Linked DNA regions of Arabidopsis thaliana. The protein of the gene in region 2 interacts with the protein of the main gene of each other region in a pairwise test. Each region holds a gene or a part of one and is shown on either strand. Other genes may lie near its edges. The genes, in order: DJ1A and GPX2.

What was found.
Region 1: the proteins of GPX2 (region 2) and DJ1A interact in a protein complementation assay, tested with the Arabidopsis thaliana proteins (one study listed by BioGRID).

Annotation. Positions count from the first base shown.
Region 1 is NC_003074.8:5,043,110-5,053,432, reverse strand, and holds DJ1A (Class I glutamine amidotransferase-like superfamily protein), read right to left. Parts: upstream 6,058-10,323; 5' UTR 5,924-6,057; coding exon 5,903-5,923; exon of another isoform or gene 5,901-5,902; intron 5,845-5,900; exon of another isoform or gene 5,799-5,844; coding exon 5,598-5,798; intron 5,324-5,597; coding exon 5,174-5,323; intron 5,080-5,173; coding exon 4,894-5,079; intron 4,803-4,893; coding exon 4,722-4,802; intron 4,556-4,721; coding exon 4,355-4,555; intron 4,240-4,354; coding exon 4,099-4,239; intron 4,010-4,098; coding exon 3,812-4,009; 3' UTR 3,462-3,811; downstream 1-3,461. Other genes in the region: AT3G15010 (RNA-binding (RRM/RBD/RNP motifs) family protein), read right to left, coding at 1-589; RIP1 (cobalt ion binding protein), read right to left, coding at 1,312-1,946, 2,305-2,370, 2,455-2,552, 2,724-3,112; AT3G14981 (uncharacterized protein), read right to left, coding at 8,105-8,323; ROS4 (Acyl-CoA N-acyltransferase with RING/FYVE/PHD-type zinc finger protein), read left to right, coding at 8,622-10,323. UniProt on the Arabidopsis thaliana protein: Involved in oxidative stress response. Confers protection against diverse stresses by binding both CSD1 and GPX2 and mediating the cytosolic activation of the Cu-Zn-dependent superoxide dismutase activity of CSD1.
Region 2 is NC_003071.7:13,434,741-13,444,506, forward strand, and holds GPX2 (glutathione peroxidase 2), read right to left. Parts: upstream 5,184-9,766; 5' UTR 5,036-5,183; coding exon 4,991-5,035; exon of another isoform or gene 4,741-4,990; coding exon 4,664-4,740; intron 4,239-4,663; coding exon 4,177-4,238; intron 4,070-4,176; coding exon 3,951-4,069; intron 3,764-3,950; coding exon 3,596-3,763; intron 3,510-3,595; coding exon 3,471-3,509; 3' UTR 3,234-3,470; downstream 1-3,233. Other genes in the region: AT2G31550 (SGNH hydrolase-type esterase superfamily protein), read right to left, coding at 1-29; AT2G31560 (signal transducer/transcription protein, putative (DUF1685)), read left to right, coding at 1,871-2,399, 2,493-2,572; AT2G31580 (tRNAHis guanylyltransferase), read right to left, coding at 6,397-6,516, 6,812-6,919, 7,012-7,097, 7,198-7,367, 7,453-7,497, 7,571-7,702, 7,975-8,231, 8,601-8,708 and 4 more. UniProt on the Arabidopsis thaliana protein: May constitute a glutathione peroxidase-like protective system against oxidative stresses.

The DNA.
Region 1 (10,323 bases), on a different chromosome or scaffold from region 2:
GACCTTCCTCAACATCTCCATAAGCCATAAAGTGATTCAATAGCCTATCCGCCGGCATATCAAAAGGAACATTCGCCACATAGATCTTCCTCATTGATATATCTGCAATCTGGGAACCCGTACCTTGATTTCCAGATGCCGCGAGCTGCGTTACTGTAACACGCCCATCAATTTTCTTAGATGGTTCTTTCAGAGCTAGTAAAGCTCCATCAACGTGCATAAAAGTGACGAAACCATACCCTTTCGATTTCCCAGTGACCTTGTCAAGGATCACAATAGCTTCTTCTAGATCTCCGTAACTGGAAAAAAGCGAACGGAGACCTTCCGTAGTAGTATCCGCCGCGAGACCACGGATGAATAGCTTCCGCTGCGAGATATCAGAGTCGGCGGTTAATCGGACAGATTCAAGCACGTCGGGATGGCGTACGATAGCCTCTTGCAATAAGTCGAGCAGCTGATCAGTGGTGAATCGCTCGATAATCTTCCTCGCGTCTTGCGGCGACAATCGAGTTGGACCAATGGTTCCGCCACCGTTGGTATTGAGTCCGTTACCGTTCTCATCGAGCTTACGCTTCTTCATCATATCCATGGTTACAGATTTATCTCTGGAGTTATTCTTTCACCGGTAAATCCCTAATCCTTCTAGTCCAGCCGTAGAGAAAGCGAATCTGACACGAAAAAAAAGAGGGGAAAATATGTGACGGCGGAAAAACATATGAGGGAAGCGAGGGCTTTATACGGTTACGAGATTTTCCATTTTGGGCTGAAATTTAGAATGATGGGCCGGGATAAAGAACACAAAGCCCATCTTGTTACTTCACACCCGCTTCTCTCTCTCATCATCAAATTGTGTGTTCTGTCAAGTTTGTCGAAAGAAATATGATATTGATGACATTTGTCATTCTTCCTGTTATAATATGAGTATCCCATTCCCATGTAAACATGATTGGGGAATTAGAAATTAAGACTAGGAAGAAGCCAAAGAAAGACACAAAACAATAGCCTGTGGGAGACATGTTACTAAATCCCGTTTAATGCAGAACCAGGAGTGGACATAAGAGTAGCAAGCATCACAAGGAAGAACTTGAGATCGATTTAGGATATAAACTACTAAAAAGAAACGCAAGAGTGAAAAGTTCTAACCATGCCACAGTAACTTAGGCTATTCTCTCTCACATAATCCCAGACTGATAAACACTCGAGATAAAAGGAGTTTTAAAGTCTTGCTACTGCACTCTCTCTTCCTCAAATTATCTATACACAGCCCAGAATGCATGATTAAAAAGGAAACCCACGACTGCTTCAACTGCTTTAACCCTGGTAGGGGTTGCCACTGCCATCCCGGTTAGGTGGGTAGTTGTTCTGGTACTGTGGCTGCTGCATTCCACTACCCTGCTGCTGGTAGTTGTTGTTCTGTGGGGGTGCTCCTCCGTATTGAGGTGGTGGTACTGCTCCATATTGAGGTGGTGGTCCTCCTCCATAGTTTGGTGGTGGTGCTCCTCCCATGTTGTTTGCTGGTGGTGCTCCTCCATAGTTGGGAGGTGGTGTTCCTCCATAGTTCTGAGGTGGCCTCGGTCCTCCCATGTTGTTTTGCGGTGGTGCTCCATAAGGTGGTGGATGCCTTGGTCCTCCCATGTTGTTTGGTGGTGGTGGTCCATAGTTCTGCCCCATGTGAGGTGGAGGAGGTGCAGAGCCACCCATATGAGGCGGAGGAGGTGCAGAGCCACCGATGTGCGGAGGAGGAGGAGGGCCTCCCATGGGAGGACGTTGAGGAGGAGGGCCTCCTGCCATGTTCTCTCTTCTCCTCTCAAAGTTTCTGCTTCTATCATTGTTGCGAGGACGGTCATTGCGTCTGTTCCTTTCATTTGCTCTAGCATTGTTCCTTATCCACTCCTCGTGGTACTTAGGATCATAAGGAACAGCCTTCCCATCGATGAAAGGTTCCCCTGAAAGTCAATATATACAAAAACGCATCAAACTAACTCTCTAATAGGATCACCAGAAAGATTTAAACTCTCACCAAAGCAACATCACTGCGACTTCTACAACACCAGTCTCACAATAGATATCACTAAATCAAATCTAACAGATGCACCCACAATGTTAATTAACTATAAATAGAAGTCGCCCCATGTGTCAATCTAACACAAAAGCATGGAGCAAGTAACGAGTCCACAGAGCGAAGACTAGCAACAGGTAGTTTCCCTTGAAAATTTCAAACCCAGCAAAAGTATAATGGACGAGCAAAGCAACTACCCCAATTTCAAACCCAGGTTATGATACAGATAATACACTTAAGCCTACCTCCATAGTCTTTGTTCCTCACATCCAGGTAAGAGTCAGGAAGAACCCAGCGCACATTTGACAACTCTGGAGAGTTACAGAAGAAAGTTAGAAGGCAGATTATAACACAGAAATGAGGAAAACTAAAACCCAACAAAGGCAAGAGTTAACCTTTTAACTTGTGAGAAAGATCTTCTGACACAAGTGCCCCAAAAGCATAGTAGCACCTAGTTGAAACCGAGTAGATCTTCATCCTAGCTTCGTCTTCACTGAAATGTCCAAAACGAGATATATCATGTTACAGCTCCAAAAATGATCTAAGTAAACACACAGATCCGTCATACACAGTAGTGGATTTCTCACTTATTTAACCTAAAATCCCTAGAAGAACATACACAGAGAGAGAGAGAGAGAGAGAGAGTTTTGAATTGGGGATTTACCTGCCAACAATCTGAGCTAGGGTTTTGATGTAGCTATCAATGATTTCATCTCTAGTAGGCTCACCCTGAGGTGGCTCCACGACGACAAGCCAGTGCTCGAAATCGCAACCATCGAGCAGGATCGTCTCCTTAGGTGGCCTGTTCGACCAGTTGGGATTCGGGTCGTTCAGAGAAGACGATGTAGCCTGCGTCGAGAGACCTTTGACAGACACAAGGCCGCCACGGAAAACGGAGGAAAAAGCGGCGACCAGAGGACGGGACCGGCTGAGCAGAGAAGACGCCGGAGATTTGGCGAGAGGAGCAGATGAAGCAAAGGATCGCGTGAACAGAAACGAAAGAGATTTCGCCGGTCGGCAAAGAATGGATCGAGAAATGGTATGCGTCGCCATGGAAGCTCTAGATTGGGCTTCGCAGATAAAACCCTAGGAGAGAGTGTGAAAACAGATGAGCTAGAAATGAAATCAAGGGTTTTATGAGGGTTTAATAGTAGATTATGAGTCGAGGGCATTTTAGGTATTTCATAACTGAACTGGACAGCGAAATCTACGGTACTACCCCCTGATCTTATCAGATTCAACAAAATTGCCCCTATTTTACCTTAAGTTACAAATAAACACATTTTCGCCAAGAAATTAGTGACATTACTCTGTTTTCAAATGATAAAAAAGCTATTTTTATACAAGAAGAGAAGACTGAAGATTTTATTTTCACTAAATTGGTAATAATCATATTATTAAATGGTTTACAAATATGAAATATTCCAAAGCTAAACATAGGGGCAAATTCGTATTTTAGAGTTATTGTAAGGTCAATTTGGTGAAAATGTGTGACTAAAATATCTTTCTCCATAAAATAATTTTTTTCTCCAGCACACCCTCTAGCTCTTGCAGAGGTTTAAAGAAAATATCGGCAACATACATAGAAAAATCTCGTTTATTCATTTATAAAGGCATAAAGTTACACACCAATCACTAAGCCAAGCTCATATGTCATATATCATAAAGTAAGTAATTACTAATGGAGAGAGATAACTAAAAGGCAAAGCCTTCTTTTTATTCAAGCCACTCTCATACTTTCATTGTTTGAAATCACACAAGTGTTGCCTTTCCGAGCTGAAGAGCTTTCTCTCGCCCGTAAAACTTTTCGACAATGGCAAGTGAAAACTCCATTGCAGTCCCTGGAGCTCTGCTTGTTATGACATTTCCATCTACCACGACTCTGTGCTCAATGTGACTCTTGTCCGAAAGTTTGTCGCTCACCACTGGGTGAGTAGTAGCCTTCTTACCCTATACAAAACATGTCTCTTATATCTCAGTTTAATGACTTAAAAGATAGAACAAGAAACTACAATTCTAGTACTGTTTGATTTATGCACCTTGAGTAAACCATTAGGCTCGAAGACGTAAGCAGGCGATGCGCAGATTCCTCCATATGGTTTGTTTGCTTCTGCCTGTTTCCTTAACATATTAACTAGCTTCTCGCAGCTTGCGAATCTTTGAGCACCGTTAAGACCGCCCTGTAGTTCATCAAAGAAGTTGGATTATGTTTTTGGTTATTTGTCATCATAGAATATTAAAATTTAATTTAAGACTAAATAGTATATTCACATTTTGGAAGTTAGCAATACTCACAGGTAACACAATCAGATCAAACGACTTCTCTGCAACCTCATCAAGAAGAACTTCTGCTACTAGCTTAGCTTTGCGAGATCCTTCAACTTCCAAACTGTTACCAACTGCAGCAATCACTACATTTGCTTTTGCCCGCCTCAGGATATCTACAAGCGCTATAGCTTCAATTTCCTCTGACTCCTCTGCAATGGGTACGAGAATCTGAAAAGGGAAAACATTATCTCTCTGACTCATAAAAGACTATTGATCAAGAAAGACAAAAGCTTTACAACACAGCATGTTCCTAGGAATCTGTATAACGGATCAAACAAAGCCTGTCTTGGAAAAATGTTAAAAGGGCCAAGTGGAGAGGCAACTGAACATTTACCTGTGGTGTATCTTCAAATGACCAGTTTGTTTGGTTAAGCTCAGTAAAAGTAAACTCCTCACCAGGGTTAGGACGAAGCAGCTGATTTCAAAAGGATAACAAGTAAGTCTACGAGGAGGTGACATGAACACGTACCACAGCGGTTGATAAAAGAGGCAGAGACAAAACATACCAAGATACTGGAGACTTCATCAGCTTTTTCTTTCCCAAACAACTGCTCTATAAGCGTGATGGAGAATTCAATGGTGGTTCCTGGTCCACGACTGGTCACTATTCTTCCATCAATTTGCACTCTTGACTCAACAGCAGTTGCACAAGTAGCCGCAAGTTTCTCCATAAAAACAGGGTAACCCGTTGCCTGCAAGAAACCCCATGTAATAACAAGACATTACAAGGCCTGAAAAAAAGATAAATAAACGCCCTTGGAAATATACTGATCACTTCTGACTTACTTTCTTGCCTTCTAGTAGACCCCAAGTACCAAGAGCCAAGGCAGGAGCACAACATATAGCTGCGTTAAGTCGGCCATCAGAGTCTTGTTTCTTGACCATGTTCTCTAAAGATTTACAGTTTTTAAGAGTCTCGCCACCGGGAAGCCCTCCCTTTTCCCAATCATATCAAAAAGTATATCAGCAACACAATTATGAAATCTTTCAGAAAACAAGAATCTATGAAGTTGTTTCAGAGAACAAAAGTTGCAACAGATACATCTAAAAACCATCGTTCTTAGTAGGAACTATAAACATCACTTTCGAAACTTTAGTTAAGTGAGCTAATTGATAATTGATCGATCCACTTATTGGCTGTCCTTAGTTCTTAGATTACACACAAAGAAACAAAACAAATGGACAATGTTAAATCAGCAGAGAGACTTACGGGGAGCACAATAAGGTCGAAAACAGAGTCGGTAATATCAGAGAGAAGAGTATCAGCGACCATCTTGATGCCATGACAAGCATCAACGCCAACCTGAGTCTCAACAGACGCCACCGTCACGTCAGCACCACCTCGACGCAACACGGTAATCATCGCCACCGCTTCTAGAGGCTCCGTACCGTGCGCAATAGGGATCAAAACCTAAAAGAGACGCCAAAAAACCTTGGATTAATAATCACAAAAAAAAATCGTTACGTACGAGGAGGGAAAAAAGTATGATCTCGGGATCGTGAAACCCCACACACCGTTTTCGTAAATGAAGCCATAGTTGCGGAGATTAGAGAAACGATGGTCGAGTCAAGAAGAAAGAGAAATGGAGTGTAGTGGAGAAGAAAGGAGTGTCACTAATGGGGTTAAAATAGTAGGAAAGACTCAGTGACGAAGCCATTTACGACTTTCCTTTTTATCACTTTAACCAAAAGAAGATAGACGTGTGCGATGACGTAAGCATAAAGAAAAAGAAACTCGACGATACGTGTCGAACATTCATTGGTGGAACGTGGCGAAAGCTTCTTTTGAGTCTTTCCACGTCATTGTATTGGATAAAATCAGAAAAAGCCACTTTGGTTTCGGTAAACTAAGACGGCGTGAAGTTGGCGAGAAAAAAGTATTACAACAACGACATCACGTCCTGGTTCTTAATTTTGTGGAAGCACGTGTTGTCGTTTTTGATACATGTACTTTGTAGTAGAGTAAACCGGACGAACTTCTGAAGAGATGTTTTGTTAATTTTGTAGCGTTCCAATAATTTATGGGCTTTATATGGGAGTGTTAACCGGTCGAAAAAGTACTCCTACCCTTTCAAATAGCTATTAACGCGAAATTTGAAACTACTAGTTAAACTTAACCAAATATGATCCCATAAATATGATATATATACACGGTAAACTAATTAAGAGACTGTTCAGATGGTTTTTGGATGAATCGGTGTATTCAAATTAACACAAACACACACATTTTTCAAAATGGACAGCCTGAAATCATGATTTTTGTTATGATCTCTAATTTCTAACCCAACATGCAACAAACAATAAATGATCAATACCCATTATCCGGTCCAAAGTGTTTTTAACAAACTTAACGTTTTAGATATAATCCAAGGATGTGTGTCAAAATTCACTTATATTGTAATAGACGAAATTAAACTAGATTAAATCACATGTTTGTGTGTTTTAACCATGTTTGATGGCTTCGTTGGGTCCAACATATTCCATTCACAATTAGGATGAAGAAGAATGTCTCAATACAGAAAGCCAAATATAAAGCAAAACACGTGGCTCATGCATTAGCTTCGCAAGCGAGCCGAATTATTTGTTATTGACTTATGTGGATCAAAATTAGCAAATGAGGTCTACCATCTACCCTTTTAAAAAAGAATCGTTTCTTTTTAACCATAGTTAAACCTTAAAAATGAAAAAAGTATCTAGAATTGATCCCCTCTAAATATTTTTTTTTTTAAAAACAAATACTTTCACATAACACAGTCGTTTTCATCGTACTGGTACATGTACTTTTTGGAATTTTCATATATCAAAATCGAATAAGAAGAAACAAAGATTCAGAGCCGTATTCCTATATATAGTTAATACAAAACATGCAATAACTAATCTGTTCACACAACAAAATAGGTTAAAATACGACTTATGTCCATCATCGCATGCACCTATTTGATAGTACAGTATTTGTTATCGTTAAGACACGTAAAGATTCCCCGCGCAAATTACAAAGCATCCAATCCACTTAACAGATATTGATTATACATATTAAGACAAAACCTGTTACAATCGGTGATGACTGAATTTTAAAGGACAAAAACATAAGCTGAAATGATTTAAAACGACAACAGAAGAACAGTTAGAAACCTGGCAATTAAATATGCTAACCTTTTTTTTCATTTTAGTTTGTCTGTTATTTTTGTCAGAACAGTTTTTGTCTGTGGCGAATTTAGTAAAAAAAAACTTTGTCAAGAACTTAAAACCATAGTCATTAATATTGGCTTATAGTGATACGATCGTCATTAACAGGATTAAGAATTTGATAACAGAAGAAAAAAACGACGAATATTTGGGTTTTAATTTGTGTAATTAAACGAATTTAAGTACTCCATATACTATAACTGCTGGTCCGTTGTTATCAGAGAGGAGACAGAATCTTAAGGTGAAAAATGAAGAATGACTTTTTCAGTATAACGAAGGAAAAATAAAATAAAAACACGAAGATGCCTTTTTGGTGACAGCACACAATTTATAGAAAAGAAAAAAAGAAAAAAAACGAGAAGAGAAAGAAATAGCCAATAATAAGTATACACACACTGTGCACAACAAAGTGATAGAGGCAGATTCAGAGAGGTGAAAAAAAGTTCGTCAGAATTTATCTATCTGATGAATTTTGGTTGAGAGATTTAACACCGAATCAGAGGTGGGTTTCTTCCACAATTATAGAAAAAGCTAAAAAGATAGACAAATTGTTGTTCTTTCTGTGTGTGAGATAGAGATCAAGGAGAGAGAGTGTGTGAGTGCAGAGAACGTGAAATGGAATGAAAATGCGTTTCCCACTTGCGGTTGGAGAGGATAAGGGCGACGAAATGAGTCTATTTCAGTGAGAAGAAGCCATTTCTCCGATTTCACAGCTCTGATTTCATTCTGCATGCTGGTAATGTCCTGCATTTCCCAATTTTTGAGCTTTCTTTTTGGATGTAATTAGTCATTATAACATCTCAATTTCATGAAATCTGGTCTATCGTTTTGCTCTAGGCTTCAAAGTTTTGGCCTTTCTAGAAGGATCTCTGATTTTATCTTGTTTTGAATCCGCTTCCGCTTATGGGTATGTGTTTTGGATTAGGATGTCGAGTTCCAAACTTTTGGGTTCTGTGAGTTTATTCATTACTTTATATAATTGCAGGTATCTATCTACAACCTTCCTTTTAAGTTAAGGTGAAGTGGAATATGCAGTTAGTTTGTGGAGATGCTTCCCGGAGCTGAGATTGAGATGTTAGGAGGTGACTGCTTTGAAGGGTCATATGAGGATCATCAGATATTCAGAGAAGTTTTCTTTGGAAGTGATCCTGGAAATACTACTAAAAGATGTCTCGTTACTGGAGCCATTAACTTCGAATGTGATTCCAGTAAGAATGTCAATTCCTCTCTGAGTTCCAACTCTGTGGTAACTAGTGGATATGCATGTCCACAAGGTTTTGAGGCATCTGCTTCAAGAGATGGTTCAGATTTTAACACTAAAGCTAAGAGAGTGAAGCTTTCAGGTAATAAGCATTTGGATGCAAGGGACGAAAAGGGATCTGCTTTGCATGGTTTTCCAACTTCGGACATAGCTAGAGAGACGATACCTCTCCATTTAGTTGAATCATCTAACAAGGGTGTTTCAACTAGCTCATATTTGTTGAAGCACAGCATAGTAAAGGGAAGAGAAGTTTATCTGGGTGGCATTGTGTCTGGAAAGTGTAAGTCACTAAACTTGGACAAATGCGATGGAAAGGAATTTAAAGCTATTGCCTCTCCTGTTTCTCAGGAGAGCTTCGCAACCAGAATGATCTCTGTAGGTGCTTCTACGCCGCATAGTGAGAAGGCTTGCTTCCCGCTACAGTTGAACAACGGATCTAAAGTATCTCCTAATGAGTTAATTATGTCTAAAACCTGCCTAAAGATTGATCCTAAAGAGGACCCCCGTCCTCTTCTCTACAAGTATGTCTGTAAGGTTCTAACTGCTGCCAGATGGAAAATTGAGAAGCGCGAAAGATCAGCAGGTAGGAAACATGTAGACACATTTTACATATCGCCAGAGGGACGGAAATTTCGTGAATTTGGGTCAGCTTGGAAAGCATTGGGTGGGATCCTATTAGCTGATCGTAAGTTAATGGATACTGGTACTAAGAAATGGACTGGTATTAATGACTTCTGGTCCGATCTCTCTCTTACACTGTTGGACATCGAGGAGAACATGAAAAATTTAAATCTTGCTAACACACGGGCACTTTGGTGGAGTGCCTTAGAGCCTTTTGTGGTTGTTGTCTTCATTTCTAAGCAAGTTGGTTCTTTAAGAAAAGGAAATAAAGTTGAAGTTGCAAGGAATTCAAATCCAGACAAGTTGAAGAAAGAAGATACAATTTGTTTGAACCTGATTTCAGGCTGTCCTGAAAGTGTGCTGACAGTATCTGAAGGCAGTCATCTTGTTCATGACGTGGATGCTAACCAAGAGATACATTCAGATCTTGAGGTGCAAACTAAAATTTCCTCTCAAAAAGTTTCTTCAAGACTAGAGAGGCAGAGCATAATTGGTAAGGAAATCTCTGGGACTCATGAGCAGGAGGCTAGCAAGGGCATTGTAGCTTCAAAATTGATAGCAGAAGACATGCATGAAAGTGTTATGAGAAAGAACTTACACAGAAGATCAAAGAAAATATCCGATATCAAACCAGCTTCCTTGGACCAACATGATTCACTAGATTCTAATTCTCTCAATAGCTTTGAATTCCAGGATAAAGAGATGGGCAACATTCACCTCGTCTCAAAGGGAAGTCGGGATGAAAGGTTGAGGAATGAGAAGATGAATAATTCATGTTGCAATTCAAAGAAAGGAAGAAAGAAAGCTAGGAAGCACTATACTCAAGATGATGACCTTATGGGGTCGACAATAACCAGAAACAAAGGTA
Region 2 (9,766 bases):
TTGAGACGAGCAATGTAACTCTTGAACATGTTTGGTTGTTCCGAGACACGAATGGCTTGTGTCGAGAGACTGGTTAGGTCGTCGTAACCGCACCAGCTGATGCGAAACAGACTCCGGTTAGAATGTCTTGGTCGGAGAGATTTGGTTGTAAGAAAGGAGGAATAAACTCTTTGATGTTGAGTTTGGTTGCGATTATGTCGGAGATAAGTTTTCCGTTTGAGAATCTTCCGTTAGCTTTTCCGTCTGGAAGATCCATGCCGTAAGGAAAGTGTTCAGCTCTGAAGATTGTTGGTAAAGGGTAGTTGTTGTTGCCTGTGTCGACGGTTGAATCGCCGAAGATTAGAATCGCTGGGAAGAGCGGTTTCGTTGTTGCATTTGCGGCTGCGTCGCAGGACGCTAGTAATGTTGTTGTGATGAAGAGAGTTAAGGTTATGGCTTTAGAAGTCGACATTTTTTGTTTTGGTTTTTGTTTTTTAGTAGATTTGAAGAAATGTGTTGTTTTTGTGGTGTATTTATAAGGTGACTTTTTTTTTGTTACCAAGCTGGCTTTGTGAGGTTGTTTTTCTTTTAAAGTGTGTAACAAATGGATGAAGTCAAGAGCTTTGAACCTTATAGTCTAAATAAAGATTTTGTTAAGATATTGATGAGCTTTTCACAAAACTGAAAAACAATGTGGTCAAAAGAAAATAAATTTCGTTGGTCGAGCAAAGGAAAATAGAAAAGCAAACGTTTTTGTTTAGCGTTTAAGAATTGATAATGTGAAAAAACAAATCGATAAAGAAACAAACAAATTAAACCAACATATCTTGATTCCAACTGAACTCCAATTCTGAATTCTGGTTTAAGAAAATGACCTAAACTTAAGCTGAGAGTGTTTTGTCGTTTTCTTGCTAACAAGTCATATTAAGATTGCTATATTTATTAAAATTTAACATTAACCCAAAAGAAAAAAAGATTAACATGTTTATAAATACCTGAACCACAAAAAAAAACTAATAAATTCTGTTCTTTCATATGATATGGATAACATTTAACAACATACTATAACATGTTCCAGCATGAGATACTTAACTTACTAAACACGAATCTAGAGACAGTTAGAACAAGTGTCTAGAAAAATAATTTATACCAATATCTGAAACCAAAATCAAACTCTCTGAAGTAGGCCATACTTCTTCTGTTCGTGTGGCCAGCGGCGACTCCGTGCATAGTTTTCTTTAGATAAATCCAATATTGATAAGTTGAAAAAAAAACAATTTGAAAATTTACACTTTTTAAGTTTTTATAAATTAATGGGACGATTTTAACATTTCTTGATGACCAATGACAACATTGCTTGATGTTGTAAACAATGTTATGAAGAAGATGTCAACTTCATGTCTTCTCAGGTCGCAATTCAATTTTATATCATGTAAATAAATGGGATTACTAGTGATCTCTTCTGCAATACACTTTTTAATATCAGAATATAATTTCTCATGTTCATTTGAATACACTTTGTTTTCTCCTTCCAATTAAGTAGTATACAAATTTTCACAACAATACTTTATGTTTCTCGATGTGATTCAATGTTTATGCAACATTATTATTAGTAAAATAGATGTCCATAAATTAAATAGAAGTTGAAACTTGAAAGACAAACCGAGACGAATCCCAAAATGGAAACCCAATGTTTCTCGAACACACGTTTCATGGAATCATTGATTCGTTTGCATATGGCCCCACAACAAAGATGGCATATATGCAATAATTGATGCTTCTACGTCGCCACTTTTCTAAGAAAGAAACCATCTCCTTTATATAATAATCTTTCCTCACCACTCAATATGTTATATCCGATAACAAAAAACAATCACAGAGAGAAAAACCAATGGCTTGTATTCACATCGAATCATCACATCCACCTGCATGGAAGACACACTCTGTCCAAGAGAACAAACCAGCAAATGCTGATGATATATCGAACACAACCTTACCAGAACACCACGACGGTGGCGACGGGGGAATCCAAGAAACGTGGGCCGCGATTGGAGATTCTGGCGGCAGAGGAGGAGGCTATTTCGCCGGAGAGAGTAGGAAGAAGCTGGAGAAGAAGAAGAGCCAAGTGTTGCTTGAGGGATACGCGTTGGATGATCAAGATGATTTGACGAGAGCCAAGAGTTTGACGGATGATGATCTTGAGGAGCTTAAAGGTTGTTTAGATCTAGGGTTTGGTTTTAGTTACGATGAGATCCCTGAGCTTTGCAACACTTTGCCTGCGTTAGAGCTTTGTTACTCCATGAGCCAGAAGTTCTTAGATGATAAGCAACAAAACCACCACAAGTCCCAGGAGGAAGATGATTCGTCGCCACCACCGACCACGACCGCTCCAATTGCAAATTGGAAGATCTCTAGCCCTGGTAAATCTCTAAATCTGAGATAGATTTGAGTCTTGTGATTATGAAGAACATTTTCTTGACTTGAATGTTTGATTGTTGCAATTTTTGATTCAGGTGATGATCCAGATGATGTAAAAGCTAGACTCAAATATTGGGCACAAACTGTTGCTTGCACCGTACGGTTGTGCAGCTGAACTAGAATCGATTTTCATCTTTGAACCAGAGAAAGACCGTCTTTGCAAGAATGAAGTCTCTGCCATTGTTCGCTGAGAATAGACCTGCAAATGTGTCTGTGGATAAACTGGTTTGGCTTTTACTTTAAAATTCTATGTATGTTATGTGTTGTAGTAATCTTAAGTCTTTATGATTTTAATTGTGTCAAGTGAATAAAAAAACTTCAAATTCTTTGTCTACAGTTCTCCTGACTGTTGTGATTGAGTGCAATGTGGTTGCTTAACATATGACATCTGAATTAGGGTTCTTGTCCTCTCATATGCAGTGATGAGATTTAGACACAGAAATCAATCTCCAACTGTTTTTTTGAAGACCTCTGTTTTTGGCTGAGGTAATTGATCTAACTGTTCATGTTTTGATATCTTCTGTTCTTTCATGATCTTCATCTTGTTTTTGTATCATTGGTAATTAGGCTTATATGATGAGGTTTTGCTTCAATCACAAGATGTCAACAAAGAAAGCACATGACCCTTCTTTTATGTTCTTTTACATGTGATTCTTATCTTTTTGTCCCGTGGCTAGGAAAGAATCAGAAACTTTTTGTGGTCATAAGTTGTGAACACACTTAAACGTGTCGTGTACGATAGGGCAAAAATCCTTTCACATGTTCTTTTTACGTATACAAATGTCTAATAATGACCCAATAGAATTTATTACTCAACTTTTTATGATTTGAGGTTTGTTTGAACGAGAGTCACATGATAATATATGATATATCATCCCATGAAAAGACATCGAATACATCAATTATTTAAAACAAGAATGATAGAATTCAAAGAAAATAAGTTTGCAATGTTGATGATTCTAAGATCATAATTTGGACCAAACGAAAGTTCTTGAAACTTCTTCTTCTGGTGATTAAGAAGAGGCCTGTCCCAACGCAGTTTGAATGTCCTTCTGCATAAACCGAATAACAAACCGTAATAAGATGGTTGTGTATGGATGGATTCCGGTTTAGGTGAAAACCAGGATGGTATACGTACCTCGAATTGAAGAGGAGAGGTTCTGGGAGAATATCTCTGTAAGACCTTGCCATCAGGAGAAACCAAGAATTTGGTGAAGTTCCATTTGATAGCATCAATGAGCAAACCTCCTTTCTCTGCTTTCAAGTACTTGTATAATGGTGCCGTGTTCTTACCGTTCACATCCACCTACATTGCCGTCAACATTTCCGTCAACTATTTATATATACTATTTTTCTTTCCCTATTAGACAATCATCATTCCTCATTAAGTTACTTACAGAAAGTCACATATCCTTAATGTTGTAAAGATCAGTCACTAGTAAAACATTTAACCAATGAAAGAGAGAAGTGTAATAAAAAGAAAAATGAACTACCTTGTCAAAGATGGGGAATTCAGCTTTGAACCTGGTGCAGACAGTTTGTTGAATCTCTTCATTGTTTCCTGGTTCTTGTCCTAAGAACTGATTACACGGGAATGCTAATATCTCCAACCCTATTCTCATTTTTTACATTTATTTAGTTATAGTGACAAGAATTAAAATCCTAACTAAAACCAGGTTTAGTTTTGTGGGAGCTAGCTATAGTATATAAATCAAAGACCTTGCTCCTTGTATTTCTCGTACAGAACATTCAGTTCCTTGTAGTTCGCATCCGTCAGACCACTGCAAGTTAATCAGGAAGTTTAGTTTTGATTTCATCTATTTGATTGACTTTAAGCAAAATCTTAAATTTGAACAAACGAAGACCAATATTACTCGAAATCTCTGTTTATATTTTAACAAACCTATGTTGCGGTTAAGAAAAAAGGACAAGTACTAATCAAACCAAACTGAACCGGATTGAACAAGTACTAATTTCACAAGATCCTTGCAATTATATTTTTTAATCTGGTAGATCACAAATACTTTTTTTTACAGATATCAATGAGCATACAAGCCATACAACCAATACTTAAAGTTGAACATAATAATCCAAAAAGTGAAATCAAACGTTGCTTCCTTTCTTAGATCACAAATACTATCTTGTACAATTAGGCAATGAATTCTAACCAACAAAAAAATGAAAAACAGTGAAAAGGGATTTTTACCATTTGGAAGCAACGTTTACAACCAAAAGAGTTTTGCCTTTGTATTGGTCCAAACTCACATCGTTACCTCCGATATCCTGCCATGTTCATGAATAAAATATAAACACACATAATATGTTTTCTTTTTATAACAAACCTTGAAATTGTTCATCTATATTCTTTTGCCTGAGATCGAACATTAGAAATTCCGGTATCGTAATTTCGGATCAAAACAAAATCTCTTTCTGTTTATGTGTATTAAGAATCTAAGACTAATCATAATAGTTATGAAAAAAAAAACCCTGATAATTTATGAATAAAAGCAAGAAAAACGTTGAGAGGAAAAACCTTGACGGTGAAGTCGTAGATAGACTTTGGAGATTCATCCGCCATTTGCAGTGTCGTTGGTCTCTTTCTGAGTTCTTAGTTATGAACAAAGAAGAGAAGAAATATAAATCTTTTTGTTAACAAATATTTTGTGTGTATATATATGGTTGATAAATGTTATAAGATCAGAATGCTTTAAATGACGAATCTCTTGTGACGAATGGTGGGGTAAGCATCCACGACTTCATATTGATTGCTTACCCTTCTCATTTTTATATTTTTCTTATTTCTGTCTTTCATTGATTAGTTGGTACATGAACTCAATTCCTTATTTAAAATCAAGAAATCTCAAATATATAACTCTTTTTTTTTTTTTCTTTTTTTTTTTGCGTGTTGTGTCGAGTATCAATATTTACACGGAATTTATTTAAATATTAACGTAATTGGAAATAAATTTCACTACAAAAAAAAACATATCAAATTGCCACCTTTCATATTTTCCAAAACGACCACTACAATTGACTTTCATTTTAGATATTAACGATATGATTAATGGAAAAAATCTGTAATAGGATTCGCTGCCAATTATGCTTTCCAATGTTTGACCTGATTTTTCTTAATTATAGCTTGTTCAAAAAGCAAGAAAATTATAGGAAAACATCTAGAATTTATAGATACTGATTTACTGCAAGTTGTCACGTAAAAAATAGTATTTTATCAAAATATCATTGGGTTTTTGGTTCTCAGACTTGAGACCCAAATCAAGAAAGTTATTATATTTACTAGATTCAGTTATATTTCCCTGTTAAATTGATATACTTAAAAGTAATAAATCAATCAATGTGTGGCAAACAAACAAAAAAGTATACTTTTGCTCGGTTGAATAATTTAAAAGTTATATACAAATTTTTCACCAAATATATACAAGTACATAAAGTCGGAATTTAAAATGGAATGAGAACAAAAACATATCTCAGAATCTAACCACCGGACCTGAAAATTTTAGTCTATAGGTCTTATCAAGTAGTTGGACCGACTTAATAGACATTTGAATTACTAGTACTATTCAACAACATGATAGAAAATTATTAATAATACTGGTCTCTAGTGATTATACATTAACAAAATAAATGGAGAGGATAAAGTTACTTTTACGTAACGCAAGAGAAGTTAGCAGTTGGTCGGTGCACAGGTATGGTGTGAATTTAATGTTTTACATATCTATCTATCTCCCTTCTCTCGTCTTCCACAAATGTATTTAACATACAAAACCAATAACTTTTCTAAAATCTTAACAATGGTTGACATACATGTGAAAAACTAAGGTATAACACATGTTGAAAAGAAGTAAAGCTGTGCTAATTGGAGATTAAGAATTTGCAATAAATTAGTCTTACAAGTGAAGTAAAATACTAAAATGCAGCTGTTTATGAGTAGCTAAGAATGTGTAGGTGTTCTTCCCAGAAACAGCGTTCGATGATGTTGCAATGATCCACGACCACTTCTCCTTCCAGTTTCTTCCCTGAAACTACTCCATTCTCAGCTTCCTGAAAAAGAATATTCAGACAGCTCTACAAATATCAAGTTCTGCAACGGAAGAAGATCTTCACGACTGCTTGATGAGTTTGATAGAAACAGTAAGAAACCTCGGCAGGTAGTTACATTTCAGGTTTGGTATATGGATTTAGCCATTTACGAGTTAACAGCCAAAGGTTTGAGTAACTTAATTGATTCATACGATACGATAAGAGCAGAACCAGTTTGGCACTTATAAAGTTTCTCAGCCAGTCCACTGTATCATAATCTTTCTATGCATAGATTTAAAGTTAAGGCAATACTAACCTTTAGACGGAAAACCGAAGAACCCATTCGAAAGATTACAGGTAATGAGTTGTACTCAATTCCAAATTGACGGCTAAGCAGCTCATTTTTCTCTCGTGTTTGTGTACCCTGGGAATGTCATTCACAAAGAGTAAGATAAGAACCATTCTAAGCATTGACTACTTGAGAATAATTTTTTTCAATCCATTATAACAAAGTACCTTTAAGTAATCTTGGGATTGAGTTTTGTTTTTTCCAGACTTAACAAGCATCCAGAAACATGTATTGTACTGATTATTGATGTGGCCTGCCAAACGAAAAACAAAGAAAACATAAGACTACTCATCTAAAATTTTGCAAAGATATAGACGATTCCAAATAATTTATCACAGTGTTATTATACTAACAGTCAACTTGTCTCCACGCCAGATAATCCAAGAGAATATTGTATGTTGGATAGCATACAGCTCGTCCATCGAATGATGGAGGGTACTTCAATTCTTTGTGAGGGAAAAATTCTCCCCATTGTAACACATATGTGGATGTAAAGAAGGATGCGACTGCAGATATTATCTTACTGTAATGCAATACTAAGTATTAAGACTAAGGATATCAGGGAGATACGGCCAAAAGTGTAAGGAAAAAGAGAAATTTAGTTTAACCTGGATTGTCTTTTGTAGAGCTCAGATTCTTTCTTCAAAACAAAGCTGTAATCGATGATGAACTTAATTAATATCTAAATTATGTAAAGCTGAGATAAACAGGTTGCGAGATGGACACCTATACTCATCACTGACACCATAGGCAAAGTGAATATCCTCAAACTCCTCGAGAACAGCCACTGCACATGAATTCATAAGTTTCAGAGCTTGCTCATCATTTGGCTTCTCAAATTCATGAACGTCAGAAAATCTATCAAAATCCAAGCAAGCTCCATGAGTCGTAATTTGCAACACAGAAGACTAGTAATCACTAACAAAATGACTTCTTTCTGAAAATGCAAGTTCAGATTCAATAATCAGAATATTCCCTAGACAAATGCAACCACAACAGAACATAATAAAACTGAACAGGCTAGCCTAGCTGAATCCTATGGAGCGCAAGGATTTTACTAGTCTAAGGCTTCAATGCAGTAAAAAGACTGACAAACTTTTACGAAATAAAGGTAAGCTATAGACAATTACCTGTGAAAGTGACAGCCATCAATCCTAACCACGACCCAAGTTAAAGGTAACAATTTGTTCTCAAACTGAAACGACCTAATAAAATCTGGTTCAATTTTTCCAATGTCTTTCGTGAAGTGGCCAAGATCATTATATAGAGAGGGCTGCTCATTCCAAAAGCTTCTTCCTGCAATATTCTCTGAATGTACAAAAACAGCCTTTCTCCTCAATCTTTTTACAGGATTGCCATTTTCGTCATGCTTTACAGTTTCTTCCACCTGAATCAAGTTAAATGAAAGTGTGTTATTGGAAATTTACAATAAGTCTTAGCTACATAGCATCACGCAAATTTATGATGAACATCAAGAAGAGCAGCTAGATACATCAGTTTTAAACCTGAACATCAACTAAGCTGAAGTAATAGTCTTCTACACATTGCTAGATTTTACTAGGGTTCAGACAATTCAAACTTACAAATTACAATGCATAAGCCTAAACGTACATGTGCATCAACAATATTGTCAACAAACTCAGGTTACTAACATTCTTAGAGACTCAACTTAAAACTGGAAGTCTAAATACATACACAACACATAGCAAAGCAAGTGCTCTGTATATAATTTCTAACAAAAGATATAAATTATCACCTTTTTCTTGAAAAGACAAGATCCTTGGCGAAACAATTCAGGAAGCGTCTTGTAATTGATACCAAATTTCTGAAAGAGAAGCTCATTTTTCTGCTGTTTTTGTGTATCCTGCAGGCATCCAATGGAAATAGAAATCGTGTGTTCAAACCATGTAATATCATTACTAAGCGTGAAACTTGGCTTAAGAAGGTAAAGGGCCATTTTGACATCTGTATTAGAAAAAAAAAATTATAGTCGTAGTGCAGACAAAAAAACATTGATCTCTGCCATAGAAAAGCACGAATAACACACCTTTAGAATCTCTTGGGTTTCACTTACGCTCTTTCCACTTTTAACTAACATCCAGAAACAAGTGTCATACTGATTGTTGGCGTGGCCTGCAACCAAAAAATGGGTTTCACTTAATTCACGAAGATATTCACGCCAATAAGTAGAACTAATATCCGGAAAAACAAGAAATCAAGAATAAGTGTCAAGTACAATATTTATGTTGTCAGAATGTCTTACAGTCCTGTTGTCTCCACGCGAGATAAGCCTGAAGAACCTCTGCTGATGCACAACTTACAACTTTTGAACTGAAGGACGGAGCATATAATAATTTTCTTTGGGGAAAAAACTCTTTCCATTTTGTTACATAAACTGCAGCAAAGAAAGAAGCTACCAACGACAAAATCTTACTGCATATAAAAAAAAAAAACAAGAAAGTGAAAAACAATGAGTCAATCAGAGAAGAAAAAACCACATATCATTGAGGAAAAGGTTTTCTTCAAGTAAATTCACTAAAAATATGGAATCAACTTTAATCGAAAAAATACCTGGCTCGTCTCTGGTAGAATCTTGATGTTTTCTTGAATACAAAGCTACAAAAGACATGTAAACATATAAATCTTGTACAAGATACATAGAGGTGAAATAAATAAAGTCAATGGAGTGTATTTAGGACCTGTATTCGTCACTGTATCCATAAGCAAAGATTATGTCAGGAAACTCTTCCAAAACCGCAGCTGAACATGAATTCATCAAATTGAGGGCTGTTTCATCATTAGGCTTCTCAAACTCATGAACTTGAGAAAATCTGTAGTTATCAAACAAAGGTAAGCAGGTGTAAGTAAAATGCCAAAGAAAAAAAACATTCTTTCAGGAACAATGTCAAATCATGCTTCCAA